4 linked regions of the Lonchura striata genome follow. The protein of the gene in region 1 purifies or fractionates together with the protein of each later gene. This does not show direct contact. Links are inferred from orthologs where the notes say so. Each region holds a gene or a part of one and is shown in the gene's direction. Other genes may lie near its edges. The genes, in order: PPP1CC, KIF18A, KIFBP and EIF2AK4.

Region 1 (7,715 bases):
CGATGCGCTGCCTTCGAGCCACGTGAGGCTGCAGCCACACAGAAATGTCCCACATGGAGCAGCAAAGTGGGGCTTTGAGTGGCTTCTACTTGTTTTGCATGGTCTGCTCACATCCCCCTGTGCCACTACATCCAAGTGAGCTGTGCTGAGAGTTGCTGACGCTGCGAAGGGGAAGTTGTGCTCACCCCACCACAAACTAGCCGGAAAAGGGGCAAAAACCCCCTTTGCTGGGTGTTCAGCACTGGCTGCTGTCTGTGTTTTTTCCTTTTCCCCTCTGAGAACAGCTCAGCTGAGCCCCTGTGGAAGCCCACAAGATCTTTCCAGCTGGTTATGCAACTCCCTTTGGCCGAGCAAAGGGATTCCTGAGGAAGAGGGGAAGACAGGGCTCCTCTCGGTGCCAAAGCGGCGTCAACTGATCCGCCACGGCTGCTCTCCACTTAAAGCAGGACAAAGCCTCCTTTGGAGCTCTTTCTCCTCTTTCTCCAAGCAGCAGAGCAGATGATGGCCATGCTTTGCCCAAGGATGCTCAGCCATGGACAGGACACATCAAAATGGCTCTTGTGCCTCATCTCAGAGCTTTAAAAGTCAGATTCAACTGAGAAATTCATCAGGAGTATGGAATATGCTGGGTTTTCCTAATCCAAAGTGCTGCAGCAGGAAAAATCCTATAGTGGTCACTGCTATATTGGGAAAAAAAAAGGGACTTATGATATTTTTAAATGAGAAGGATTTTATTGATAGTATTTTTGTGAGCATGAACCTTCCAAAATTCACCAATAGAATATTTTTCCATTTGAAAGTACCTTTCACCAGAAACCCATGAAGTACAACAACTTCTAATAAATAAATTTTTAAAAACCCACTAGGAGGAGAGGAATGGCAAGTCATATTTCTCCCATGTCAAAATTACCTGTCTCAAAATTTTCTGAGCTGAATTTTTTTAACTTTGGTATCCAAAAAATGGGATTTTAACAAGCTTGAGATGGACTTGCCATTGATGTTGACAGCTTTTGGGGGATGGTTTCAGATGGAGACCGGTTGTTAAGATTGGGAAACCATCAGCTTGGTGGAAATCAAGGCCTGGCTCTGTTATGCAGGGTACACCCTTGAGAAGAGTGTAAGGAAGTCTCCAGCAGGAATCCTGCTGCTGGCTGCCTGGGAATGAGGTCTCATTCCATTTCTGCACAAGGTTTGAGTCCTTGGAGAGCCCCAAGGCTGTGCTGGAAGCTCAGGAGCAGCTGCCAGCCCCGAGCTCCTCGCCGGGTTCCGCACAGGAACGCGCAGGATCCACAAGTTTTGTTGCTGGAGGGAGATCGTGGCACCGCGCGTTTTGTAAATAAAACACGACACTAAGAAAACTCCTGCCTGTGCGTCATCAGCTCCCCTTGCAGCAGGACACAGACCCTTCCATCTCCAGATCAGCCTCACAGCTCGCTCCGGCTGCTTCTCTTTTGTCTGACAAATCAGCGCCACCCACCCTCAAAACCCTGCTGAAATTTGGGGGTTAGCAAAATATTTTAGGAATGAAAAGCAAGAGTGTGCATGAGGCTTTATCTCAATTGTAACGCCAGGCAAGCTGGGTGCAAACAGTAGGAGTTATGAAAACATTGGAATCCTGGCTGTGGAGCGAGTTAGGAAAAATAACACCTGACCTACAAGTCACCCATTCTTGTTTTAGCAGTGTTTGGAGAGCCCGTGTAGATCTTTGTTTGAAATGTACACAAACACACTGAATTTCATGGGCTTAGCAAATATGTAATCTAAAAGTGTGGGTGCTTCACATTTCTCAGGATCCGCCTACAAACAGGGATAAATCAGGGAAATGTAATTATTTTTTGTACATATATACACATGTATGTTTGTGTACATGGTGTAAATATGTATTATATTGTACTCACAGTATATATTTATATATATGTACAGAACAATACTGAAATCTTATTTTTCTCTATATGTAGGTGGATATTATATGTATAATTTATATATTCTTAAACTTAACCAGATTATGAGCAACAATACAATAATAAAGCAACACTTGCAAGAGAGGGCAAGGACAAATCACTGGGGAAAGGTGTTTTACACAGAGGTTTCCAAGGAATGAGACCAAAGTGGTGATTTGTGGAATTTAAAGGGGGGAAAGGAGGAAAAGACCCAGAGGTCTCAGAGCCATGAGCTGTGAATGATTTGTACTGAACAAATTGTTAATCACCATGTATTTTGCTAGTAAGAAAGTAGGAAAAGAATTGTAGACAAATTGAAAGAAGGGGTGGAGTTGTTGGTATATGAAGCGTGAGCTTCAAAATTATGGAGTGCTTCAAGCCCATGTGCAAAATTTAAGGACAAAAGGATTTCCCTGGCTGTTCCCTCTCTGGAAATAAATCTGTTCCTTCTCTAGAAATAAATCATTGTTGTGAGCAACACCAGAGAACAAAACAGCTTCATGATACTTATAATGCCTTGGTTGGGTCCCTTTTCTAATCAGGGTGTGGGGCGAGGCTGGTTATTTCCTGCAGAGAAAAGCTACCTTATTAAAAAGATAATTTTGTAGTGGCATTTTAATATAACTCTGGCTCTCCATGGAGTTTACTGATAAGGAAGGGTCCTTTTTTTTTATGATAATGAGAAAGACCCTGTGCAAAAATCCAGCCTGCTCCGAACAGGACACCAAGCATTGGCAGCTGCTGTTGAGATTTAGAGCTGGAACAAGGCGAGTTGGTTATAAAGGTGATGACGAGGCCTTTACAGATTCACCTTTATCTGTCATTTCTCTTCTTTCCTCCTGGCTACACCTCTTTTTACAAGAATTATCAGTGCTCTGGACCTTGCCTGATATGGTTCAGCAAGTGAGACAGATTCTTTGCCCTGACCTTGTTTTGAAGGGCCAGTTCTGTCCTTTCAGAAGTATGGAGTTTCCAGGTGAATTCCCAAGTACGTTGTCTGGGTTGACCTGGGTTGCTAAACTCTTCCCCTCCATCCCATTTCCCAGAGAGTTAACAGGAGTGAAAAGTACTCAACACCCACTAAAGGTGCTCAGATCCCCAGAGAACTTGTCCCTGGAGAGGAGATAAGAGCTGAAGGGTGAGATGAGATGAAGATATTTACAGAAATGAAAACAAGGCCAGGAAGGTTCCTCTGGAAACACAGGACCAATTTTCCTTGTTAAATAGTTCAGCTAAGTCCAAGAGAACAACTCGCCCTGCAGAATTAGGAAGGATTTGAAAGAGAAAGAAAGTATTCGGTGCAAGAGCCGGAGGGGCCCTTCCCCGAGAAGGTGCAGCACAAAAATAGATGTAAATCTGCAAAGGCTGTCACGTTGAAGCAAATCTGAAGTAACTCTATTGTTTTCCATGGGGTTACTTTGGGTTTACACCAGCGTGACTAAGATTAGCATATCAGCTTGGGCGTGCTCCATACGATAAGTGTTCGCTCGGGGAAGTGGAGTGTTGAGGCTGCTCTTGCAAGGGGCCTGAGCCTGTGTTTCAGGTAGACTCTGCATCCTCTTATCTCCTTCCTCCCGCAGACCTGAGGTGTGCTGAGACTGCAAGTCCTTTGCTTTATCACCCGCACGAATCCGAACTCTGCTCCGGCCCCACCACGGCAATGAGCTGCAATGAAAATTGTATAACTGCTGGCAAGGAGGAACCCGACAGGATAGTGGGAGCAATCCACCCAGGGAAGGGAGGGGACGAGGAAAGAGCTCGACACAGCCAGCCCCGCAAATTAAAGTAGGAGTAAATAAAGCAATAAAACAATATTCAACTCGAGGTACAGACTGAACGGTGGGGAAGGCTCGCACAGCCTGTCTCCTGGACAAACACCATCCAGTTTAAACCTCATTTAAGTGCTTGTAACCAAGCTGTAGCTACATATAGAATAAAATAATAAAAGTGTGAAATAAACAGCGAGATGCTTTTGAACGAGGAGCTTCATTCCTTCATCTGCAAGGACTTGAAAGTGCTGTACGTTTGTTTCTTGAAGGATTTGCAGGTGCAGAGCCACGTGTCTGAAAGTGCTCAGGAGCTGAGGAGCTGCTCAGGACACCTTGCCTCAACCCGTGAGGTGGAGGTGGCTCAGTGTGAGGTGAAGGACATCACGGCTGTGCTCCCCCAACCCTGAAGTGCCCCAAAATCCCACCTGAAGCCACCATCTCCCCCACATGTGGGTGTGAGGGGCAGTGAGGGGATGATGTGAGGGCCATGGTGGCTCCTTGATGTCCTCTGCAGATCCCAGTCTGCAAGAACGCCACAAGGTGCAGACCTTTCTCCACAGAAAAAGGTGATCAGACATTGGAACGGGCTGCACAGGGACGTGGCAGAGTCCCTGTCCCTCAGGGAAGGACTGAATGTTACACTCCTCGGTGACATGGTCTAGGTGACATAATGCTGTTCGGTTATAGGCTGGACTCGACGATCTCGCAGCTCTTTTCCATCCTAATGGATCCTGGCACCCTGCGACCGCCACCACTGATTCTGTCGCGACACCGGGAGGCGGCACCGCCGCACTACTTCCCGTCCCGGGAGCGGCAGGATCCCGCGAACCGGGCCGCATCACCGCGCCCGCTCTTCCCGCCCGGCCTATGAAGGGTTTCCGACGGGCCGCGTCGCGCTCGTTCGTATCCGTGCGCCAGGCGAGCCCGCTGAGGGGACGGCGGCCATTTTGTTCAGCGCTGGCTCTGTGCTGAGGGGGCGGGGGGGGGAGCGGAGGGAGCGAGGCGAGGCGCAGAGCAGGAAAAGGGCAAAAACGAGACAGAACGAGGAGCGCAGTCGGGCCGGCCAAGCCGCGAGCGGAGCGGCGGGGAGGGCTCCGCCCGGCCGCTGAGAGGCGATGGCGGATATAGACAAGCTCAACATCGACAGCATCATCCAACGGCTGCTGGAGGGTGAGGGTCGGGGACGGCGCGGTTGGGGGGGCGATGCGCCCGGCAGGTCTGAGGGGGCACTAAAATGGAGGGGCGAGAGGCGCTTTGTCTGCCTGGGGTCGCCGCCTCCCCGCCTGGCTCGCCCCAACTTTCCCCTCAGCCCGTGTGGGTTTCCGAGGCGTTTCTGCCTTTTGATCCCCCGGTGCAATGCTGGGACCAGCCGGCTGCCCCCTTCTCGTCCCTTGCGGTTCTAAGGGGATGCTTAATCTAGTCCTGTGGTGGAATGAGGGGATGCTTAATCTAGTAGTATTTCGTAGGAAGGGCTTTGAAAAAGCCTGGGGTGTTCTCTTGCCTTTCACGCATACACATGGGATCAGTGCATGGCTGGGTAGTGGCGGGGCTCTGGAAATAAGACTCGGCTTGTTTAAAGAGTGTTGAGGCAGCTTTTCAGCAAGTCGGGAGGAGACTGCCGTGGGTTTCAGTGTATGCTGGCTTTAGCTTTGATTAGCTGCTTGCATTAAAGCTGCCACAGGATTTTGGCTCTTAATTCGTAACATATGGTGGGATTTTAGGTGTGAATAGAGGGTTGGGGTTTGGTGTTTCAGACAGTCTGAAAAAGGGCTTATTGTCTGCTATTGTTGGTGCTTTGGGATGAAAAGAGTTGCCTGGGAGTTTGTAAATCAAGGGAAAACCTGGAAGTTGCAGGGGGTGTCTCCAGCATCATCCCTTCGCTTGCAGGGATCAGCACTGGGCTGGGATCGACTGATTTTGGGGCAAAAGACTGAGAAGCTGCCAATGACAAATTCTCTTCCAGGCATCAAGGAAAAGCATAATTATTCAAAGAAAGAAGCTATGCTGATCCAGCCTCACTTCACGTGTGCCAGGGCAGCATCTCATCTGGACTTACTCTTGAAAAGCTTGGTCAGGGATTTAACTTTTTACCATTTGGCACACAGTCAGCTGAGATGGTGCTGAGAAAAATGATGAAGAAATGTCTTTTCTTGCACACTTTTCCTTCTTACAGGATTTTGCTTGTGTAATGCTTAGATAGCAAAAGGTCAGGCAGAGGAACAGAAATTCTACTCTAGAAAATTGGAGTTAAAAAATCCTGTAGATGAATTATGGGATTACTGAATAAGTAAAAGTAAATGGGGTTTTTCCTCTGATCCGGTTTGGGTTTTGCCTGTTACCAATTTAAACCGCCCTGGTTTCAATTATTTAAAGACTTCCCTTCATAAAGTTAGACCAGGATTTTCCTGAAAATCCAGTAATACAACTTGTAAATGTCAGGTCTCGTATGTCATATGTTTGGTGACATATTAATACATGCTCAGTTGAATTGCACTCATTAGTTATAGTTCTTACTGATTTCACTTACTGTAATTAATGCAATATTTCCAAAGTGTGAACTTTAATTTTTAAAAGCATGGCTTAGACCTTTCCTAGAAAGAAATGCAAGTGATTTCTCTGTTTAAAGTTTCAAAAGGTAGTAAGACGTACTATGTCAATGTGTTCTGCTCTTGCTCAGTTTATATCAACATTAGATGGTTGGAGCAGATAAGAATTCATGAATCAGGCTTCAAAAGGTTTACTGACATATTTTAAGAGGTGCTTCGTGCAATTGCAGATGTTACCTGAGGTTGCATCAGCTGCCAGAACTGAAATTAATTTTTTTCCCTTTATTAATACAGCAGCTGGGATTTTGGATGCCTTGAGGCAATGATTGTCTTTCAATATTTAAAACAATTACTGGTGTTAGTAACCTGTGCTAGTGCTTTATTTGTTGATTATTAAATGTCTGTTCTAAATGTCTTTGCCAGACAGAGAGTAATGACTGACCTTTGTGAGTGTCATTTTTATACTTCTTTTTCCTAAAACATGGCTGCATTTCAGCACACACTGCATTTTAGATTTAGATCAAAGAAATTATTGGTTTTCAGTGCAGTTCTGGTAGAACAAGTGCATAATGTTAGTTACACAAAGTGTGGTGTGCCCGTGAGCTCTGTGTCAATACCCCTTTAGACAAGGCTACACACAGATTAAAATCATACTCAGGCATAAAAACACTGCAAAATCTGCTTTAATAATCAGCTCACAAACTGAATTGCCCAAATCCTTGTGCAAGCTGTAATTTTAGAGCTATTTGGTATTTCATTATAGCTCTCTTTAAACTTTAAATACTTACACATTTTTATAGCAGCTAACTTTAGGTGATTTTGGTACTAAAATTTAAAGAGTATGAGCAGGGGGTTTAGCCCTTTCTAAGGGTAACAAACCCCAGCACTAATGAAATACTGGAAATCAGTGGGCAGGTACAGTTAGGTATTTGTTTTATCATGGTCCTTAGCATTGCCCTGTTAGAAGAAGCAGTGAATTGAGTCTAATGGTTGAGGTAGAGTGAAGGGTGAATAATAAATTATTCTTGCTTTTGTCCTTAATAAAGGGTATTAATAATGTATTTGTGAAGGATTTTAGTTGCTTTCTATCCTGACTCCTCTGCTCAACTGACATTATTCCTACTTTTCCCTCAAATAGGGATGTTCTCCCACCCACATTAGGCTATTTAGGTGAAATTATTATCTTTTTCTTTAAAAGGCCTGGAAATATATACTTCAGCTTCTCATTCTAAGGTAAATATTTGAAGAGTCTTCCTTGCTTCAATTGTTTATAGTACAGAACCATTTGGCATTGAGATGTCACCAAAAAAAAAAAAAAAACCCACCACCATTTTTCAGTAGCATTGTTCTCAACCTGGGAAAGCCATTCAGGGAAAACATTGAAAATACTGGTGTGTTTTTTTATTATTATTATTTTTATTTTTCTGTAACCGAATTTGTATTTTTTTCCGTTCTTTACT
Region 2 (7,235 bases), on another chromosome or scaffold:
AAGAATGATGTATGAAAATCATGAGGGTATCTTGTGAGATAGTTTGTGATTGATAGGATATTTTTAATAAAGCATTTTTTAAGTTACTAAAATTTAAAATGACATCACAAAAGTCAGGAAAAAAAAATTTAGTTATGGCTCCTCTTTTTCAGCACCACACCTTTTGGACATATTCTTAGTAATTTTATTCCTGGTATTTCTGTTATGTGCAGAAGTGGAACACATGTCTAGGTTCACTTCTTCCCTCTATCCATTTTTAAAAATTTTTGAATAATGTTTGTTTTCAGGGAAAGTTTGTTTTTCTGCTCTTAATGGCCTGGGTCATAATTTCTGTTGCTATGTTTGACGTTTCTACAGTGTGAATTCGGTAGCAGTAATATTAGTAATAACAACACCCCAGCAGATAAGAAATAGAAAACAGAGGGTTTAATAGTCCCATCACCAGAACACTTTTTTCATGTGAATAACACGTGCCTGAAACAGCTATCTTAAATGACATGAAATTAAATTAACTAATATTCAAATCTTCCAAGTCTTCCATACTTGTGGAATTTGGATTTGGTCCTTTGCTCTTGCTCAGTCTGGGGCTGGGCTGTTATGAGACACCTTTTTTTTCTTCTTTTGGATCTGCTACTAGTTCAATTGTCTGGGCAGTAGAGCTGTCAGGTAACTGCATTTTCCACTTCCCCTTCTGCAGCTCAGAGGAGAAAGGGGGATGGACCTTCTAGGACCAGTGACCTTCTCTACACCAATCCTGCCTCTTCTCCAGAGAAGGGCTACATTTTTTCGGATTCATTTGGCTTTCTATGGGATTGCTACTTGTACAACCTTGAAGGTAACTTTGAAATCAGGACAAGCTGGCTTTAATCTTTATTGTTGAAGCCATAAAAGAGCTTGCTTTAATATTTTCAGTAATGTTTTCCCAAAATTTATTTTCACGTCAGTACACTCTCTTCACACCCTCAATAATTCCACTGCCTATTCTCCAAGACTTAAAATAACTAGTTGTTTCTTTAGCTTCCAGCTCTACCTTTGGGAAGAGTAGCAGATTTTCCTCTCATTAATTCACTTCCCATTATTTAATCTCAGCCATTTTTATTGTCAGTTACATGTCTTATTACTATGCTCATGTGATAGCTTTCCTAGTCATCACTGACCATTTTTATTTCAGTTTGGCATTTTCTCTTTAATGTCTCTTACTTTTAATTTAACATATACTAATTTTATTTTAAAAGATCATCAGTTTCCCAGTAACCTATTTTGCTGTCTTTCATCTCTTCCTGTTCATTCCTCAATTATGAACTGTAGAGACTATGGACAGGTTTTATGGGATATATATTATAAAAGCAGGCTTTTGGCTGTGAAAATAAACAGAAATTTAAAAATTCATCAGAATTAAATGAAGTGGAAACCTAAATCCACATGCTAGGCAAAGACCCTCATTTGTCTTGCCATACATAACATAGATTTTTCTTTAAACAGGCCTTCACCAAGAAAAATAGATGTGCTGACCTCTTACCCTTAGCTCTATCAGAGGACATGCAGAAATGTCTCACACTCCATAAAGTGTGACCATACACACTTAAAGCTAATATTATATATAAATAGTATTTTTTATATGTAAGTATAGTATATATATCTATTTATATCTATTGTATGTAATACTATATATTGAATTATATATACTAGTATTATATATTAAACTAATACAACTATATAATATATATTGTTAATATAGCTATATTTATTATATTATGTTATATTATGTTATATTATATGCTATAATTATTTATAACTGCCTCTCACTCTTGTGTAGAAACATAATAGTCTCTCACTGGAGACTATACTGTTTGGAAGAATCCCCACCAACTTTCAGACCATAGAGAGGTGGGTTCAGTTCTCGTTGTTAACTCTGTTCCCTCGTTTCCACTGAAACATGCCTAACTTGAAATGGGAAGGTTTACCTGTCAGTTCTGCTGTGTTAATCCTTTGTTCTGCTGCTTGGAGAGGTCAGTGGGCTGTTTGAACAGGGATGGTGGTACAGCTGCTCTGGCAAACTGCACTGATGCCACGCTGCAAGGCTCAAGGGTTATGCTCCCCTGAACTGACCCAAAGATCTCCAACAATTCCCGCCCACAACCACCGCCACTTCCTAGCCTTTTGTTCCTGTCTTTGCCTCACCTCTTCACTCCAAATGCCACTGTCTGGGTGCACACAGTGACTGTTCAGATATTTTGATAGCATGGCCATGAAATCACAAATCGTTTCTTCTCAATTTCAGTAACTGTTTCATCCCTGCTGGGTTAAATAGCATCACTTACTACCTTCTGTAGCTTCTATCTGTCTGCACAAATGAGCAGGCAACATGTTTTGCTTCAGATACGAGCAAATTTTTGGGAAACTGATCCTTGATTCCAACACTTACTAATTTAGAAACAGATAATTTTCAATATAAGGTTTTAATTATGGTCTCATTTATGGCAGTTCTATTATTGTAAAATTGACAAATCTCTTGGATAGCCAATATTCTTATGGGCAGCATGACTTAATACATGTTAAATACTACACATTTAATTTTACTGATAAAGTCTGAAATTCATGTCATCTCACAACCTTACATATTCTTTCAATCAAAAAACTCTCCTTCTATGTCTGCCCCTTTCCACACTGCTAGAAATGGCAAAATCAGGCTTCTGAGATTCCCTTTTTCTCTTTTTCAAGTGAAATGCAAAGGTTTAAAAATCACTGGAGAAAACAGGAATTCAAGCCCTATATTATTTACATGAGTAAGAATTCTACAGATGGAGCCTGACATAAAGGTGATTCAGTGGCGTGGGTTAAGAAATTTCTCCAAACCTTTTTACACAAATAGGAATATCTCATCTAGTGTTTTTCTGAGACTTTTATATTGTATTTTGAGTAATTACATATTTCAGGTATTTTCTTTATGTGTGGACTTACTGGAACTGACTTTTCATTGAGCAGTGAGGTAGACTGGTAAAATCTAATTTGTAGTCTTTGCTTCCAATACAGACTACAGGGACTTTACAGTAATTCCCCCAGCTTAAATTTGCAAGTGCACCTCACTCTAGCTTTGGGCAGACACGCAGGTGTGTGTTTCACCACAAGCCATAGTGTGCCTACAGAAAACACATCTATGACCATGGTGTGCTCTGCTGGTTTTGCCCGGGCTGGAGTTAATTTTCTCCCCAGCAGCTGAGCTGGGGCTGGTTTGGATTTCTGCTGGCACAGCACGGAGGAGACACAGCTGGGCAGGAGACCCAGATGCACCCAAGGGATATTCCAGACCAAAGGACACGGTAATCCGGACAGAAACGCGGGAAGAGGACGACTGGGGTGGTGGCATTGGTGTTCCCAAGTGACCACTGTTATCTGCGATGGGCCCCGCTCTCCTGGAGATGGCTGGACCAGGGGAAGGCATTCCTTGTTTTGCTCTGCCTGCCTGCACAGCCTTTGACTCCCCCGTGAAACTCTCTCCACTCAGCCGCTGTTTCTGCCTTCCCACCCTTCCCCTTCTGTCCCGGCCCCTCTGTGAGGGCGAGGAGCGGCTGAACGGGACCAGGGCCACCATCCCCTGCCCGGCCCGGGGGTGACGCGAGGGACTCCGCTCACAGCCACGGCCTCCTGCCCACGGGAGATCTCAGCGGCGAGCACGCCGGCCGGATTTCATTTCATTTCTCTAACAGTGCTCGCCAGAAGGGAACCGGGCCCCACTGCAGGCTGCCGCCCTGGGATCGGCCCTGCGCTAAAGCAGCGAGGACAAAATCCCCGCCCGAAGCACTTTCGGTCAGAGCCGACCGGAGCAGCGGCAGCGGCCGCGGCCCGCGCCGGGCCCGAGCGGGAGGAGCGGCCGGGGGCTGTCCCCGGCCAAGCCGGGCCGGGCCGGACCGATACGCGGAGCAGAGGCCGCCCCGGGAGCGCCTCCCTTCCCTCACGCCGGCCGCCCTTCCCTCCGCGCCCTCTCTTCCCTCCCCGCGGGCCCCGCCGCCGCCCCCCGCGCGCCCGGCCTCACGCACTTACCGCCGGCGCTCCGGTGACGTCACAGGCCACAGCCAATGGGAAGGCGAGGAGCGCGGCCTGGCCGGGTTTGAATCCCGCGGCCGGCGGATGGCGGTTGGTGCTGGTGCGGCCGCGGGGAGAGCGGAGCGAGAGAGCGAGAGAGAGAGCGGGCACGGCCCGGGGAGAGCAGAGCGAGAGAGCGAGAGAGCGAGAGAGCGAGAGAGAGAGCGGGCACGGCCCGGGGAGAGCAGAGCGAGAGAGCGAGAGAGAGAGCGGGCACGGCTCGGGGAGAGCAGAGCGAGACAGCGAGCACGGCTCGGGGAGAGACGGAGCGAGAGACGGAGCGAGAGAGCGAGCACGGTCCGGTGAGAGACGGAGCGAGGGAGCGGGCACGGCCCGGCGAGGGAGCGGGCACGGCCCGGGCACGGCCGGCCGAGCCCCGGGCACGGGGAGCGGAGCCCCGGCCGCAGGCGGAGCCCGGCAGCGGCTCTGCGGCCGGCCCTGGAGCGCTCCGGCCGCAGGGCCCGGCCCGGCGCCGTGCCCCGGGGAGGAGCGGCCCGCGGGGCCAGGCGCTGCCGCGGAGCCGGGCGGGCCGGCAGCGGCTCGGCCGGGAGAGGAGCCGGCCCTGGGCCGGCAGCGGGAGCTGCGCCGTGTCCGCCGCTGGGGTGAGCGCAGCCGCTGGGAACCGCAGAAATGGGATATGCGAGGAAATCCCGCTCGTGTCGGTCACTGCGGCCCGTGCCGGGCACCTTCACCTAAATCCCGCTTCAGCTCTTCAACGCTCCCTGCGACGTGGCTGTGTCTGTCCAGGGAGGGCAACACGGGAAAGGCTGCTGGCTTTAGCCCACAGAAACGTGGTGTCCGGTCTGAAAGCTGGGTCTGCTATAGAGGGAAGCCTGTAGGGCATTGAGTATTTGAATTGTGAAATGAACTTCAGAGTTCCCTGGGGCAGTGCTGGTCGGCTTTCTGAGAGCTGTGCTGAGTTCAGTCATCCTTTGGGGCGCTTACAGAGCTTCCCAAAGCCTCGCTGCCCTGGGGCAGTCCCATGACAAGGGATGGGCCCAGCACAGGGCCCTGACCGAATGTGTGAATGGCTGGAAAGAGTGAAGGCTCATATTGAAATAAATGTTCTCTGTGTCAATTGCAGAAAGGATTCAGCTGCTGGATCTGACCGAGTGCTGGCAGTGAGGCTGGGGAGCAGGAGGGATGACTCCAGCCAGGGAAGATGTCTGCAGCCATGTCAAAGTGGTGGTCCGTGTCCGGCCAGAGAGCCAGAAAGAAAAGCAGGGCAGCTTCAGCAGGGTGGTGCGTGTCATTGACCAGCACGTGCTGGTCTTTGACCCAAAGGAGGAAGAGGTTGGCTTCTTCAGCAGAAGGAGAGTGATCCATAGGGATATCAATAAAAGACAAAGGAAAGACCTGAAGTTCATGTTTGATGCCATTTTTGATGACAGCTCATCCCAGTTGGAAGTTTTTGAGCATACTACCAAAAATCTAATTGATGGCTTCCTAAATGGATATAACTGTACAGGTAACTTTGTTATTTATCTTATTTAATTGAAAAACTTACGGGGATTTCTCAACATTTGTACCATTCTGTCCAATAGCTGCAGGAGCGTTAAAAAAGCCTGAGATAGAAATAAAGCATTGTGATTTAATTCACAGATATGAAAGGCTGACATTTTAGCATATAGAAGTTAGATAGCTCTACTCCATTTTAAAAATAAGTTTGTGTTAAGGTTATAATAGACTTGGGAATTTTATCTAAAATATATGTGATAATGGGAGTCCTCTAGAGTTATTCAAGCAGAAGCAGTTGTGTCACTGAGTGTATGACATAAGCTGCTTTATGAACTCTTTAAGATCTTGGGGCTTTTTAATTGGCTGCTGGACTCTGGTGAGGAATTGAAATGCCTATCAGCAATAAGTTGATGGCTTAGGGTTATGAGAGTAAGTAAATAATATTTTTATGTGACGTAGCAGTGAATGAATTTTGAACTGAAAATTCGAAAATGTTATTTGGAAACATCTCTAATTAGAGATCTGAAAGGTAAAGTTTAAGTAAGAAACTATCTATTTATGAAACAGTTGTGCAGAATGACAGAGGTCTATAAATGTTCTTTTGTCTTTGGTGTTCCTGATTAGCTTACAAATAAGTTACATGTTTTTGTTTTGTCGTTGTTTGGGGGAAATTCAGTGCTTGCATATGGTGCAACAGGAGCTGGAAAGACTCACACAATGTTAGGTTCTCCTGAAGATCCTGGAGTCATGTATTTAACTATGGTCACACTTTATAAACGCATGGATCAAATAAAAGATGATAAAACATGTGATGTTGCTGTCTCTTATTTGGAGGTGAGTTCCTGCATTTTATATGTTGCTTTGAATAAGTCATATTTGTAAGTAAAGACAAGCTGGTTTTGCTTTCCTCTGGTCCTTTCTGGGGCTTGACAAAAGGTGTCCTTATAGGAGTGGAACTGCCTTGTTGGTGTTCCTTGTTGGTGATTTGTGTTCCTAGGCACCTATCACTGTTTTACAGAATGCTGCCCAAAAAACACCACTTCTACCATACTTACTGATTGTTCATGATTTGTGTCTTGCCTCTGAGCATCTGTTGATGTGTACAAGGAAATATCATTTCAGGGTAATATTTTAGGACTTCACAGTAACATCCTGTAATACTGTGAAAAAGCACCACAAAATGGTCTTCTGTTTTTACAAATAAATGTTTTGGCACTGTTGCTGAAGGGTGCTAGTCAAATGGTTATCTTTTTAGCTCCTTCAGTGTCTTAATGGACTCTAGTTGGTACTTGGGAGGGGTAGAAGGAGATGGGGAAAGTTTGCCTTGCCATATGCTTCTACAGACCAAGAAATAAGAGATTTAAAAATTTTAACAGAAGTAGGTTTGAACTAAGAAATGTCACTGAAGTAGGGATTGTGATACACAATGGGGAAAACCAAATGCTTTGCATTCATGCTTGTTGCAAAACTGTTTTTTTGTAAAAAAAGGTAATTTTTTCAATAAAGAATAAAGATTATTTACTAAAAATAATTACTCCTAAAATCTAAAAAGAAATCATATGAATTGAATATTTAAGCTTGGTATGGGGAAAATGTAAAAAAATTATAGCCAGAATTCTTTTCTTTGTCCTAAAGGAGTATTAAAAAAGACTGGTGAATTCTGTTTATTTAATTCTGTCAGCTATGGGAAGATA
Region 3 (7,663 bases), on another chromosome or scaffold:
GGGAATACATGGTTTGCCTATGTACCATCCGCAATAAAAAATTGCAGCAATAATTTCTGCTTGTTGGCCATGCTGCTTTCACAGTAAATCCCAGAGAAGGATCAAATAAAGTAGGATGCTTTATATTCCTTTGGTATCAGCTATGTAATTATTTTCTGTTGCTGTGCACAGTGTTTTGAGGTTTGCAGTTACTCTTTAGATGCTGCAGCCTAGACTCCCATTAAATGTCATGTTAATGGCTTGTTTTATTGACAGGATGCCCAGTCCTTGCATGGTGACATTCCACAGAAACAGAGAGAAATCACATTAAAAGGCTTCAGAAATGGTGTGTTCGAAGTGCTGATTGCAACAAATGTAGCTGCCCGTGGTTTGGATATTCCTGAGGTTGACCTTGTTATACAGTGCTCACCACCAAAAGTAAGTCATTAGAGGAAACTAAAATTGGATTAGCTTTATTTTGGTGCCAGAATAGTGGGTTATTCCTTTGTTTCATCAGAAGTATGTTCTGTTCCAATTAATTTTTGAATTAATTAATGTTTTGTAAATGTGAGGCCTAAAATTTCATAGTTACAGTTTTTCAGTTTGAGCTTTGATTAAAGTCTTGGGTTTTGTTTACTCTGGAAACTCACAGGTTTTGACATTGTGAAACTTTCCTGAATTCTTTCTGCATGTTGCTGAGTTTCATAAAAATTCTAAAATATTTTTGCTGCTTTTTTAATCTTTTGCAACTCCAGTGGAACATTTTATTTAGAAAACTTAAAATGTCTGTCAGCAGTGTTTGTTAAAGCTGAGCAGCATACTTTGGGTGGGGGAGCACATGCAATCCTGAGTGGTTTATGTGTAATTGTAAGTTTGGGTATAAACACATAATGTGTCACTCCTTAGGCTTCTGAGTTTGAATTTAGCTTGTGTTTAATCTGAAATGTCAGCAGTTTAAATAACATAGTTTTCTCGTGTTGATCTGAATTTGTGAAGGATGTGGATTCTTACATCCACCGTTCTGGACGCACGGGCCGAGCGGGCCGGACCGGCATCTGCATTTGTTTGTTTCAGAGAAGAGAAGAAGATCTTCTGAAGCAAGTCGAGCACAAAGCGGTGAGTTGTACCTCAGAGCTCTGCTTAAGGAAATGGATCAGCTCCTGAAAGGACCCTGCCACTCTTGGACTTGGTAATCGTGGGTTGCTGAGTCCAGAATGGGAGTGTCCAGTGCCATAAACTAGTAGGCCCAAAGTGCTGATATTTGGTGTTTGTAAATGCTTTTGTGTTGGCCTGTTCTTGCATTGCCTGAGTTTTCCCGTGCAACATGCACTGTGTGCCTTGCATCACAGTGTGCATGTACATTGGAGTGAAGTAACTCCAGATTAACAAAGCTGGGAACTTAAAAGCTTTTTTATCACTTTAGAAATGACTTAATAAAGAGTATGTTGATCTTGCAAACAGTAAGTAGAGATCTCAGTTACATAATTTAGACAGGACTGAATTGTAGACTGCTGAAAATACCTTTGTTTTCTTGATTTCAGGGTATTACCTTTAAGCGTGTGGGTGTTCCCTCTGCTACAGATGTAATTAAAGCTTCAAGTAGTGATGCCAAAAAGTAAGTTTATTTGCCTGTTCTTGAGAAAGATTTAGAGATGTTGTTGCTCTAGATGCTTAAGAGTTTAATGCACAATTTTAAGGGATCAGGCCTACATGTGAGCATGGCTTTGCCTGTGTTGTAGAAGTCAGCTGCTTTGTGTATAGCAAACATAAGATGGTATCAGTAACGCTCTGTGTGCTGAACACAGACATTTTCATAGAACATAATGTTCTCTAAGTTTTTGCAGCAAACGAACCTTTGTTTATAAAATCAGAAATCAGTGACAGAAGAAGGAATTACTATCAAGAGGGGAAGATGATTTTATCTGCTCAGATGACGTGGTGGAAGCAGTGCGCAAAGAGCAATACTTGGTATAATGAGGAGTTATTCTGCAGTAGTGAGGGTGTTTTAGCCCTGACTTTTGTTTCATTATATTATTTCTGAGGGTTGTGGCTCTGTTTACATCATGCAGCTCTGTTTAAATTTGCTGCCCTGTGGTGGAAATTGCCTTGAAGCAGGTTATTATAATTAGTGAGGATTTGACCAGTATAAAGTAGATGATGGGCATGGTATTTGGGTTCACAGTGTACTGAAAAATGATGGGGGGAGTGGTTGTACCAGAAATAGCATTACAGAAGTATCTCTTCTTGGATTCCTATCTTTTTTCCCTCCCTACCTTTTTCAGAAAAGACTGATTTAGGGTATATCTTAAACATGGCTGCCCTTCACAATGGCCTTTTCTTATCTCTTTAAACCCATCTTGTAACTGTGTAGGTTGTTGGAGGCTGTTCCTCCTGCTGCAGTGGACTACTTCAGAAAATCGGCCGAGGAGCTGATAAATGAGAAGGGGGCAGTGGCTGCCCTGGCTGCAGCCCTGGCACACATTTCTGGGGCAGCTCACATCCAGCAGCGCTCCCTGCTCAACTCAACAGCTGTAAGTAATGATGTACCCCTGGTAAAAAGGATGGATGCATGAATTGCTTGTGTTTAGGCCATGTCTGGCATCTCATTCCCAGGCTTTTCCTTCTGGGTTTCTGAATAGCTGTTGTCCCCAGGTTCCTTAGCTGAAATCAGCTGTTCCAGGAGAAACTTAAAATCAGTAAACTTTCTTGTGATGAAAATGGAAAGAATTTCTCCAGAGGCTGAAGTGGCAGAAAACTTTGATGCTCTAAGAGAGTTTAACTAATGACATTTTACAATTAATGACAATTTACAAGCAAATAGATTAGTTTGTGCTATTGTGGTTTCCCCCTTATCAAGAATCTTCTACATTTGTCGTAATGCAAGTACAGCCTGTGATTACCTGATCTGTATTTAGGGAGGATGTGGCCTAGGCCCTTGTGTGGTAACCCCATTTTGCACGTAACTGTCTGATTGAATTGTAATTCTTCTATCACTTTGGGTTTTTTAATCTGTTTTCTAGCAGCAGGTTTGACCACGTTCAGCCTTGATAAACGTTTTTCTCCATTTCCTGCAGGGCTTTGTGACCATGGTGTTGAAGTGTTCAATAGAGATGCATAGCATGCGCTATGCCTGGCGGGGGCTGAAGGAGCAGCTTGGGGAGGAGGTCGATAACAAAGTGTCTGCAATGCGTTTCCTCAAGGGGAAGATGGTAAGGTGGCCCAGCCTTGGCAATGAAGGGATGTGGGGCTTTGTGTGTGTTCACATGTCGCCAGTTTGTGCAGGGATTGAGGCTGGAGTTCTGAAGTATTGGTACAGAATGTTGGTACTGCACTGTCCCTACTCAATCTCATTTCTCAGGAAATGGGTAACCTAGCATGAGTATGCTGTTTATGCATATGCTATTGGGAAAAGAAAAGGCTTTGATATTAGTTGAGGGCTTTAAAAGACTTATTAGATAGTACTCATATATGATGATGCAGGAATTGCCTCCTAAAAAAAAGCATCAGAAATAATATGTAGTGGGATTGGTTACTGAGGCTTTTATTCTTTCATTGTTAATCAGTGCCTCTTTTTGTTTGTTTTTTTAGGGCGTGTGCTTTGATATCCCTGTTGATGAACTAAGTAGTATACAGGTATGTTTGTGTAGCCAGAGCTGGCTTTAAAACCTGGTGATATGAAAACTGGCAATTGCCATATAAGATTGAGTATGGGGTGGTTAGGGAGGTTTGTGGTTTAATAAGAATTTTGCATAGGCAACAGAGTGATTAGAAAGAGCACAGCATAATCATTAGAAAATACCCTGCCATGCCTCTTCTCATTTCCATGATATTACTTGATTTCATTAAACAAAATTCTAAGGTCTTTGGCTTTTCTGTGGTCTGGCCTCTCCAGTGTACTTGAGAATTCACCAGTTTTCTGTTGACTTCATTCTCTCTTGTCCCTTGTGATTGTTTAACCTTTGTCACAGGACTGTGAGGGTCTCCCAGGGGGATCTAATGGCCTGTTTTGGCAGGAGTGGGATTTGTCTGGAAATGCCTTAGCATAAAGTCTGGTTCCATGGGTCTTGTTTCAGGAGCAGTGGAGGGACACGCGGCGCTGGCAGCTGTCGGTGGCCAGTGAGCTGCCTGAGCTGGAGGAGTATCCGCAGGAGGGGGGACGAGGCTTCTCCAGGTTTGGGAACAGCAGGCAAGGAGACTTCAAGAGAAACAGCTGGTTCAAGAGCGGAAATCGGGGACTTCAACAGAGCACTTGATTGATCTCCCCTACAAATAGTGGGACTGAACTGAATTTTATGAGGCAGTAAAAACCTGTTAGCCTCCTCTTTGTCTTTATTCCTTGATAAAGCAACCTTGTCTTTGAGGATGGCGAAAAATCATGTTTGCTGAAATGGCTGGGTGTTGTGTGAGATTTTTTTTTCTGCCCAGCAAAGTAGCTGCTGCCTGTAAGGGCATATGTGACCCAGTGGGTGTGCCTGGAAACTCAGCCCTGCGAGGGACCAGAATTCATCCAAGCACGGACAGTGACCGCTCCGTGGCTCTTCAGCAGCGCTAAAAAATCGAGTTCTGAAATAAATTTTTGTCATAAAAGCTGGCGTCCAGCCTGAGCGGGCGGCGGGCTGGCCGCGCTGCGGGCGCTCCCTCACGGCCCGCCGGGGGCGCGGCCATGGCGGGGCGGGGCGGCGCGCGGGCAGGCGGGAAGATGGCGGCGGGCGCCGGCTGGCCCGCGGTGTGCGAGAAGTTCCGCGCCGCCCGCACGCTCTCGGCCGTGGAGTCCCTCAAGGACCCCGAGACGGAGCCCTACCGCTCCAAGTACAGCGCCCGGGCGCTGCTGCAGGAGGTGAAGCAGCTGCTGAGCGCCGCCGAGGAGGGCGGCGAGGCGGTGCTGGCCGTGCGGCGGGCCGTGCTGGAGTACGAGCTGGGCGTCAACCACACGGACACCGAGGAGCTGTCGGCCGGCGAGGAGCACCTGCAGCGCTGCACGCAGCTGCTGGAGCCGCACCGCCTGTCCCCGGACTGCGTGTCCCTGTACATCCAGGCCCAGGTGGGCTGCAGGCCGCGGGGCTGGGCGCGGGGCTCCGGCGGAGCGGGGCCTGGTGTCTGGGGGCTGGGCCGGCTGCTCTATGCGGGGGACTGTGAGGAGATCCGGGCTCCCGCGTCCTGACAGCTGCTGCTCGTTTAACCGTAATAAACACAGCAGCCCTGGCCTTCAGTTCTTGCCGGAAGGAGTCGTTCGCAAGTGGTGGCCGTTGGAGGGGTGCTTTTCTGTTTTGAGCCTCCTGCTGATGCCTCTGGGCATGCGGAGCATCTGAAATATGGCCTCGTTGAAGCTGGGTGTTGATAGATCAGCGTGCTCTTCTGGACAGGCTGAGACAAAACTTGTAAGAACTGTGCCCGAAAAAATTAGAAAAAGACCTCACTACGTCCAGAATTTGTGATTCCTTAACTCGCTGGTTGTCAGAGTGATGCTGGGGGATGCTTTATTGATGCATTATCCTGAAACAATATATTGTTTGTTTTTCAGCACTGCCTCTTATATTGTAAGCTATTACATTTTGTCCCAGATGGATAAATACAGTTTTGTTGGTGCTTGAAGTAATAATATTTTCTCTTTATTCTGAAGAAGGGAATACTGTTACCAAAATTAGTTCTTGGTGCATGAGGATTCACAGAAGGGCCCGTACTTGATCCTCTGTCATGGTAGCTGGTGGTTAGGTATCTGACTCTAGACCATGAAATAGTTTTCTAGTATATGAAATAGAGCAGTTATTTAGATATCTGTGTCAAAAACGGTTGCCCTAATTAGAGATGGCTCTATAGTGCTTCCTCATCGAACTGTCAAGGAATTGTGGGCTGACATGGAAAGGTGGAAGTGAAAGGATCACTTGTCTTACACTGGTTAAATTGGCTGCGTTGTCTGGGACAGTGAGGTTGCATCTGCTCCTTGTATTTCAGCGTGAGGGTTTGGATACGCTGCTACAATTCTGTTACCCTTGGGAAGGTAAGGAGATTGCTCCAGCTGGAGCAAAATAGCATCTTCCCACACCTTCCTGGGGAGATGTGGCTCAGGACCAGAGATTCCACTGTGCTTCTGAACTGGTGTGCTGGAAGGCAGCTCTTCTCTCTCTCTGTTAGCCCAGAGTCTGCAGGACCTCAGTGCTTCGGGGCCTTCAGGAAGCAGCAGGACGGAGTTTGTTATGCATGTGGAGATGTGGTCCAGCAGCGCTGGCTCTGCTGGTACCTGGCACTGTCCTGAGGGGTGGAGCTGAGCACAGCGCTGGGAAATGAGCCCTCAGCCCAAGGGCTGGAACAGGCTTGAGTACTTACTTTAAACCATTTCTGACTTTAAAGCAGTGATTGCCATCAGTGGAAGTACTTTTCCACCTTGTGAGGTGTCTACACTGTGTTGCCATGGCACTGACTGGCATTTTGTAGGAAGAAGCATTCCTTTTTCCTGCTGGGCCTCTTTTTTAGCCCCACTTCTGATTTCTGAGCTCTTGCATAAGATTGTGTTTCCCAGTCTCTGCCTAATGGAGTCTGGTCTGTTCCACTGCTTGGCCTTCGGCAAAGTGTTTCAGTTCATAAACAACATGGGATGTGCTTTCTTATAAAAATAGTAGAATGGAGTTGAAAGGGGCAGAGGGCTGGCATACAGCTGTACATTCTAATTATTTTGAAGGTTTTTAGGGTTTTTTTTTCTTTTGAGTTTCGTAACAGCACTGCCTAGGATTTAAACTAGCACATCATTAGGATTATTATAAACACCACCTTATTAATAAAATGAGAGGTTTTTTTTGTTAAAGTTGGGTTCAGAGATGCAGTTGCTTTAATTTAATTTTGAAGGCAGTAGTCTATAACCTTTAGACCTCAGAGGTGCTTTTCATCCTTTCCATGGTTCAAATATACAAGCATTCATTCCTAGCATATTTTTTTCTTGTTAATTTTTTCTGTGGAGTCATGTTAACAAAATTCTGATTTCTTGTCTCTTTTTATGACATTTGTCTGTGATGTAAAAGCTGCATGAATTGGATGCAGAACATACTCTGTGGAAAAAGCTCATTATTTGAACACACTAGTCCTTCTCTAGCAGAGTGAACAGAGTAGGATTGAGGTACATTTTTATATGAAATTTTCTGTGTGAAAACTCCCTCCCTTTTGAGCAACTCACAGTGAAATGTGTGGGTACAATTTCTGCCTTTTGAAATCCATGGTATTAGAACACAAATATATATAAGGATGAAGACTGATGAATTGTTTGGAAAAAAATGTGTGATTAAAATGGAATGTGACTATTTTTTTTTTTCTTTTACCTTTAGAACAATCTGGGGATCCTGTGGTCTCAAAGGGATGAAATTGAAACTGCACAAACTTACTTGGAATCTGCAGAAGCCTTGTATAATCAGTACATGAAAGAGGTATTGTGTTAATGTCGTGGCAGGTCTTACTCCCATGTGCCACTTCCAGGTTAAGTAATCCATGAAATAAACATGCAATGGAATTTTGAGTTTCTGTGCTTTATACTGGCTGCTGTGATACTTATGCCAAGTGATACAAGTTGTACTGCAGTATAGGACAAGGCAAATTAGAGCATTACTTGCTAATTTCAAAATAGAAAAAAATTTGCTCAAAAATAATGGTCCCTTTTGAAAGCCCTTTAATAATCCAAAGTTGATGCCTGGTAGAATTT
Region 4 (7,392 bases), on another chromosome or scaffold:
CCTTGTCTTTAGTGAATGAATGCAGCGCACAGGTCAAAAGACGCTTCTGAGGATAAAAGCCCGGTCTCTGCCTCTCGGAGGCATCTTCACCACATTCCTGCGTCCCGAGAAGCAGGCTGACTGTTCGTCTTTTCACCTTGTAACTCATGACAGCCAGCAAACAAAAGCAGAAAACAAGCCAGGCTTCTCCTTCCCATCAGCTGTGCCATAGTTTTTACTTCACACCGCCACAGGTCTCCTCAGCATGTTTTACCGCAATATGCGAGAGAAGGGATCCCGGTCCCCAGAATCACACCCCGCACCGCGGCGGGTCACACGCTCGCACGGCCGCGGATTCACTGCACAGCAAAACCGGCCTGCAAGAGTGGGGGCCACCAACTCTGTCCCCTCACTCTCAGCGTTGGCTCTGGCTTTGCTCACAGCCCTGAGAGAGGAAAAGCATGGCTTTCCCGGTAACACATCTGCTTCCGCCCTCTCCTCTGCTCCTGCCCGCTCCCTCCCGCCTCTCTGCGGGCTGTGCGCGGCGCCGGACGCCGCTACGACCCCAGCACAGCGTCCAGAGAGGCCAGGGACTGCTCAGGGGCTGCCGCGGCGCTCCCGCTGCTCTGGGCGAGAGGAACCGGGGCTTGACTCGCAAGGCGGGGGCGCTCGAGGCGGCTCCATTCGATCCCTGCGCGGCCCGCACTGAGCGCGGCTGGCAGCGGCGCCCCTGCTCCGCCGAGCTCCCACATCCCGGAGCGGCCGCCGAGCCTCTGCGGCCCCGAGTGCCAAACCCCGCGGCGATCCCGAGCCGGGCCGAAGCAGGAGCGCCCGGCCCGCCGCGCTCCCAAGGGCGGGCGCGCCGCCATCACGGAACCGCGGCCGCGGCGCTCGGCGGCGCCGCCATTTCGCTCGGGGGCTGCGGGAGCGGGCGGGCGCGTTTTAAACCGGTGTTTTGAAACAGGTCCCTAATTCTGATGACGCACTGTCAAAATACGGTGCTGGGTTCTAGATACGCATGTTGCTTGTTAAAATAGATCTTTTTCTAGATGAGTAATTTTCCAGAAAAGCTTGTCAGTGGACGTAATAGGTTCGGGCATTGATGGTGTGCATCCATATAGTGGGTACACGATTGTCTTTAATTTGGAGGTGTTGGGGAGGTGCTAGTTGAAAATTAAGCCAAAAAGGTTTTTTCAGCCACTGGCCGCCAGTCTGGAAGTGCCCCAGGAAGACGAGTTACCCATGTGGTCAGCCCCTACACAGCGCTGCTTCCTCAGGGACCCAACACTTATGTGTTCAGTGACATATGCCCAGTCTCCTGCGATGTGAACTTTGGTGATCCAGGACAGACCTAGGTGCTGTGCCATGTGTTCAAAGGCATTTGCTGACCACAGGAATATCAGACTGCCATTGTCCCATTCCACTGCAGTTCCTGGAGGCTGTTGGCCAAACCTCTGCTTGTACCTCCATGTGTTTGGGCCCAGGCATTTGAAGCCTTCTCTCATTCCTCTGGGAGTTCATTGCTCCAGCCACTTTTCTACTAAGTCATGTCTCTGACTCACTCACCCTCCTACCTCTTCCACACACTCATTCACTTTGTCCACCCAGTCCCATTCTTCCCCACTTTCCAAGCAATAATCAGCAACTTTCACCATGCTTTCCCCTTATCTTTCCTTTCCTGAACAGGCTTCTTCCTCCTTTTGGCCTCCAGCATTCTTGTGGCCAATGTCTGTAACCAGAGTCTGACCTCAGTCCCTTCAGCTCCCAGTCACCTGCAAGGTGCTCTTCCTCACACAGCCATCCCTTTCTTCAGTTCCTCCATTGGTATGGAATGATGACTAAGGAGGCAGGCAATGCTTACTGTGTATCTGATGCGATGTCTGCACAGATCTGCATAGTCAAGAAAGATTGAGTTTTCTAAAGGAAGAGGTCCTGTGGGCATAGGATGGTCCAGGTTTGACTTAGGAATGGAACAGAACAGAAGTATGTTGCATGACTGGAACTTTGAAGGACACCATGGCCAAAAAAGAAATCTTTGCCTGATTAAAAGTCATTTAAATATTTACAAACTCACATCTGCATATGCTAATAAGCTTAATGAAGTACATGCTACCACAAAAATGACTGTATTATTCAACACTCTGCTTAGACCATGCTGTAAGTAAATGCAGCTCCTCTGATCTCTGGAGACCAGCTGGAATGCAAGAGGTTTTATTTTCTGCCAAATTTCTTACTCTTAACACTCGGAACCTTTTCTGTCCCTCCTGCACTTCATAGGAAGACTGACTTCCCCTCACTGTGCACATGGGGAAGTGAAAGCACATTCTCACAAATCATTTAAATTTTATTTGCTAGAATTAAATTTTAATGTTGTGGGAGAGAGTTTTAAATTTTGCCTTAAATCTTGGAAGCAAAGCTTCTGTCCAGATGCAGTCTGGCACATGTTTGAGGCAGGTGGATGTTCATCATATTCCAGTAAAATGGTGCTAAGCATGTGAATACTCCCTGCAGTAATGTAATTTGGTTTAGTTCATGCAGATTTTCAGAAGGTTAGTTAGCAAAGCCACAGAACTTGAAAAAGGTTGTCTCTTCCTCATCGAATTTTCACACTCCTGCTGGAGTACAAGACTTTTAAAAACAAATTCTCAGAATGTTTTTATGATTATGTTAGTTTACTCTGGCTTTCTTCTTAGAAACAATGAATCATTATAAAAGCAATTAAGGAGAAAAAATAGCTTGAGGTAGACATCTGGTCTAGAGCACTTCATCTTAACTGGTTAAAATTTTGTCAAGTCACAAAAGTATGGGAAAGTCGGGCAGCTTTAAAAGGCATACCCTTATTTGGCCCACCCACTGCTATACAGTGTCACAGGGAGAAATTTCCCATGTGGTGGGCTGTGTGCCCCACACCACATGCTCGGGAAGTATAAACCTATAATCGCTGTTAAAGGAAATTTTGCTGACATTTCTTAGTTACTATATCACCAAGTCATTCTTGCTGTGTATTTGTGTGGGAGAGAAGATGAATCTGTGGCCTAGACACTTTTATTTCCAGTCTTTAACACAGGGAAACTTTTTATCTATTATATACAAATTGATAATAACTATACCCAGCTGTACCAGAGGAAACTCCAGTGATCAGTTACAGTGCCCCAGGACACAGATGACTGAGCAAAAAAGTATGTCTCTGTTGTTGGTAAACACTATAAACATCTTTGGTCATGCATTTCCCACCAAAAAGCAGGTGAGCTAGAAAGACCTTGCCACTAAAGACACATTCTAGGAATGGTGAGGAACGGAGACCAGCATCACAATAGTGATACAATTTAACACTTGTTTTTGGTTTGATACTAACGAGGTTGTTTCAGTGCGACTGAAAGATAAAGTGTGGGTGGAACAAGCTTTCAATTTCAGAAGTACAAATTGAGGGCTATAGAAACTGGTCATTAGCGTAAATGAGTGGTCTCTTTATAACAAAATATCTGTACTCAAGGGTCAGGGAGTAAAGTCAAAGTCACCAAAACTCCATTCCTACATCTGGGTGAGTGGTAGCAAGCTGCAGACTACTGTAACACTTTTCTTTGCCTGGGGATTACTTTACTTAATGGATAAGCTTGTATGTATGAATTTACTTAGGGTTTCTTTATGAAGATTCCAAAACTTTAAAGGCTCCCTCTCGTGGCAGTCCTTTTCAGTAATTACGGTGTGAAGTGACCGAAGGAAAGCACATTTTCTTCTCTGGTTGTCACTGCTCCCTGACAGTCCCCAGCTGCCTCTCTCTGGCAGGTCCCACCAAGCACACCCGCCCTCACTTTTTTGTTTGCAGTTCAACAAAAAACTGTTCGCCCTCCACCTGCTATTACTCACTACAGCAACTATCGGTGGGAACTTTTCTACAGTTTCCACAGGAACTACATGAAATCTAGCTCTACATGAAATCTATACTGAAATCCGTGGTTAGTGTTTTCCTTTTGTAACTCTTTCTCAGTATCAGTTTTAAATGAACTACACAGTATCTCACTGTCTTTGCTGTGTATCCCTGTAATGCAGATATACCTGGAGGCATATCTTGAGGGAGTTCAGACTGGACATTAGGAAAGGTTCTTCACCCCAGAGGGTGGCTGGTCACCGGAACAGGTTCCCAGGGAAGTGGCCGTGGCACCAAGCGTCCCAGAGTTTGGACAGTGCTCTTAGTCACTGTTTAGTATTCGGGAGTCCCGTGAGGAGCAGGGCGCTGCACTCGGCGATCCTTAGGGGCCCATTCCAGCTCGATGCATTCCTGCGGACGAACCACCGGGGCCCACGCGGCGCCGGCAGCCCCGGCCCCGGCTCCTCCTCCTGCCGCCGCGGCGGAGGCGGCGCCGGGCCCGCTCCGGCTCCAGCCCCAGCCCGGCACCGGGGCCCGCCATGGCCGCTGCGCGCCCCCGCCGCCGCTGACATGGCGCGGGCCAGCGGCGGGCGGCAGCTGCCGGCGGAGCTCGCCGCGGAGCCGCCGGAGAGCTACCAGCTGCGGCAGGAGAACGAGCTCCAGGTGCTGGAGTCCATTTACGGGCAGGACTTCCAGGACCTGCGGCAGAGCCAGGCCTGGAAGGTAGCGAGCGGGGCCGGGGCCGGTGCGGAGCGGGTTCGGAGGGCGGCGGGGACGCGGCTGGCGCTGCCCGGCTGAGGCCGCTCCTTGCCTTCCTTGCCCGACGTGTCGCGGCTCTCGCTGCGTGCCCGTGGTCCTTCCCTCAGCCCTGCAACCGGCCCCCTTTGCGATTGATTCTCGAGATAGCAGCGCTCACTCTATGATCACACCCGTGCTCATGAATTGCATTCTAAATAATTGTTAGGCTTTTTAAATATTGCCTCTTAATTAATTCCTTAACCTACTAGTTACATACTTGCTCAGCTAATTAATCTCGTCGGTATACATGATGATATAGTTATTATAGTTATTATATACCGTGGTTTTGTTGCAATGCCTCTATTTCCATGATAATAATTTTGCTTTCATTTTTATGGGTGTGGGGTTTTTTTATTACCAGCTCAGGCCTGGTACTCACTACTCTCTTCCATTTGTCTTTTGGGTCCCCATCAAATTGATATTTCCTTTCCAACTGTGTCCATGATACTGTTTTCCTGTATCTGGAGATAATGGTCACTATTCTGTTCCACAGGTTCACTTTTACTGTTGTTTCCTTTTGCATTCTTGCATCTTGAATGTCTATAAGATATCCTCTGCTTTCTTTTGTGTCAGAGACTTGAAGTTAAATATTTTGCAGCATCTTATGACTTTTTTCTCTTTTTTTGAAGTTTGGTAAGAATACTTAAGTAATTTGTTGGGTTTCCAGAAATATTCACTCTGTATTGAAGGTCATATCTGATACCCTCTTCACCTGACATGATCTCCTCCTTGCTGGAAAAGCAAAGGGGACAGTTACCATCTGTTTCTGTATTTGTTATTACATGTAGTCTTACTTCACTCCCTGTTTTTCATGTTGCTGAGGGCTGGGTTGTTTTGTTGCTTGTTTTTAAACCTAATTGAAAAGAAAAAGTTGGGAATACTTATATGGGCGTATTTTACTTTATTCTGATTTTGAGTAGGTAATTTGAGCAGGGAAGGGATGGGAAAGGCAATGCTTATTAAAATTCTGGTTTATGGCAAAACACAAAATACAACTACAAAAAAAAAAAAAAATACTGTCCATTTGTTTGACTGTGTAAGGTGTAGATCAGTGTGACATTATGGTCTGCTGCCATGTCAGAAAGTAAAATAATGCCTGGGTTAGTAATCTAAACACAAATGAAAAATGCTGTTGTTATAATGAATGCTTTAATTTGTGATATAAATAACCTGTGTTAAGTTTATTTATTTTTTTCTACTGTTGTCTTAACAGTAAGCAGAATACAAAAGTTTTATTATAGAATCTAATTTTTGCTCAGTCTGAATTATCTTTCTAATGGCTGTAACTATGCTTATCTGAAGACTTTGTAAAAATATACTGGATATACCATGATAGTCAGTGGACCAGACCACACCTATTAAGCAATGTCAACATATTAATGTATTTTTTCAATGGTTTGGATGGTCTAAGCTGTATTCTACTATAATATAGATTGAGAGCTGTGTGATTTTATTAAAGCAAAACCAAACAACCCTTTTCAATCAGAAGTTTTGGTTTGTGTTTTAGGTACGACAACCTCCTGAAATTAATTTAGTTCTGCGTCCTCAGGGATTGACCGGTGCTAATGAAGTATATGCCAAAGTTGACCTGTGGGTCAAGTGTCCACATACTTACCCTGATACGTAAGTGAATGTTAAATTATAACCTCTTTTCTCTGCTTTCTGTAGCAAAGTGTAAGTTGAAAAGACATGTAGTTTTATTCATCACTTAGTCTTGCTTTCTACATATCAGTATTTATTAAGCCTGGGGTATTTTATAATATGCAACCCTAAACTTTGGCACCTGAATTGGATTTAGTCTTTTTGTGCAATGGAGAATAATAGGGATCAGTGTGTCAGTGCAGAAGTGCAGCCCCAGTTTGTAGCTTGGCGGTACATGACCACAGGTGTACCTGCCACTGTCTTAGTGCCCTTGTTAAACTTCGTGAACTCCTGACTCTTTCACCTGAGACAGACTGAATCTCCTTTCTATTTAAAGCCATCTGTTGGATTAGCTTTTGGAAGAATTCTCCATAGAGAGTGTAGGAGTTGCAGGTGACCAGCCTACCCCAGCATTTTGTGTTGGCAAGTGATTTTTGTGTTAAGTGTTGCTCTGTGTGCTCTTTTGTTTAGTCCTTATTCCACTGATAGTCCAAAACATAACTCCCTTCAGTCCATCCATTTGTGCTGTGGCATGAGTGCTGTAGAAGGGAAATGCTATTCCTTATTAAGTGATAGCTCAGTTATACTCTATAACAAGGATGTAACAGCTACTCATTTTTTTGTTTTAGTTTAAAACAACACACCTACATTTTCCTTGTTTATTTTAAATATTTTTAAATATAGCTGATATTTATTTATTGCATTTGTTTCTTAGGTTTTGTGTTATCTATATAGTGGTGATAAATAAATTTTAAACATCTAAATGTTGTCTTAGTAATGTTGTAAATGACTTGTTCAATAAGTTAATGGTTAAGAGCAGGAATTATTAAGTCTGTAGTGTTTCTTTGGTAGTTCTGCTGATAAGTGTTATCAAGAAATAATCGGCAACTGGAAAATTTGATGATTGGGAATATAATACCATATTTCTGACTTTATCTTGTATATGTAATATTTATATTCTGCTTATTTGAGCATTGACTAATTGCCAAGTAACTGTGAATACCATTCCTTTTCCCTCACACAGTTTTTATCAACAATCTGTTACTTTTTGCACTCAATTTTCCTAATGAGGACTTTTTTATGTTTTGTTGCTGTCCCACAGAGTT

What was found.
Region 2: the proteins of PPP1CC (region 1) and KIF18A purify together in Homo sapiens (affinity purification with mass spectrometry; 4 studies listed by BioGRID and IntAct, counting the BioPlex papers as one, with this or other methods). This does not show direct contact. The link is inferred for Lonchura striata from reciprocal best matches to the Homo sapiens genes PPP1CC and KIF18A.
Region 3: the proteins of PPP1CC (region 1) and KIFBP purify together in Homo sapiens (affinity purification with mass spectrometry; 3 studies listed by BioGRID and IntAct, counting the BioPlex papers as one, with this or other methods). This does not show direct contact. The link is inferred for Lonchura striata from reciprocal best matches to the Homo sapiens genes PPP1CC and KIFBP.
Region 4: the proteins of PPP1CC (region 1) and EIF2AK4 purify together in Homo sapiens (affinity purification with mass spectrometry; 3 studies listed by BioGRID and IntAct, counting the BioPlex papers as one, with this or other methods). This does not show direct contact. The link is inferred for Lonchura striata from reciprocal best matches to the Homo sapiens genes PPP1CC and EIF2AK4.

Annotation. Positions count from the first base shown.
Region 1 is NC_134620.1:11,979,136-11,986,850, forward strand, and holds the start of PPP1CC (serine/threonine-protein phosphatase PP1-gamma catalytic subunit), read left to right. Parts: upstream 1-4,714; 5' UTR 4,715-4,824; coding exon 4,825-4,879; intron 4,880-7,715. UniProt on the Homo sapiens protein: Protein phosphatase that associates with over 200 regulatory proteins to form highly specific holoenzymes which dephosphorylate hundreds of biological targets.
Region 2 is NC_134608.1:61,993,978-62,001,212, forward strand, and holds the start of KIF18A (kinesin-like protein KIF18A), read left to right. Parts: upstream 1-4,230; 5' UTR 4,231-4,385; intron 4,386-5,038; exon of another isoform or gene 5,039-5,167; 5' UTR 5,168-5,226; coding exon 5,227-5,551; intron 5,552-6,217; coding exon 6,218-6,375; intron 6,376-7,235.
Region 3 is NC_134609.1:34,940,922-34,948,584, reverse strand, and holds the start of KIFBP (KIF-binding protein), read left to right. Parts: upstream 1-4,650; 5' UTR 4,651-4,678; coding exon 4,679-5,020; intron 5,021-7,292; coding exon 7,293-7,391; intron 7,392-7,663. Other genes in the region: nucleolar RNA helicase 2, read left to right, coding at 256-417, 976-1,095, 1,521-1,594, 2,351-2,510, 3,054-3,188, 3,568-3,612, 4,053-4,232. UniProt on the Homo sapiens protein: Activator of KIF1B plus-end-directed microtubule motor activity. Required for organization of axonal microtubules, and axonal outgrowth and maintenance during peripheral and central nervous system development.
Region 4 is NC_134608.1:32,223,861-32,231,252, forward strand, and holds the start of EIF2AK4 (eIF-2-alpha kinase GCN2), read left to right. Parts: upstream 1-4,389; 5' UTR 4,390-4,417; coding exon 4,418-4,570; intron 4,571-6,152; coding exon 6,153-6,268; intron 6,269-7,388; coding exon 7,389-7,392. UniProt on the Homo sapiens protein: Metabolic-stress sensing protein kinase that phosphorylates the alpha subunit of eukaryotic translation initiation factor 2 (EIF2S1/eIF-2-alpha) in response to low amino acid availability.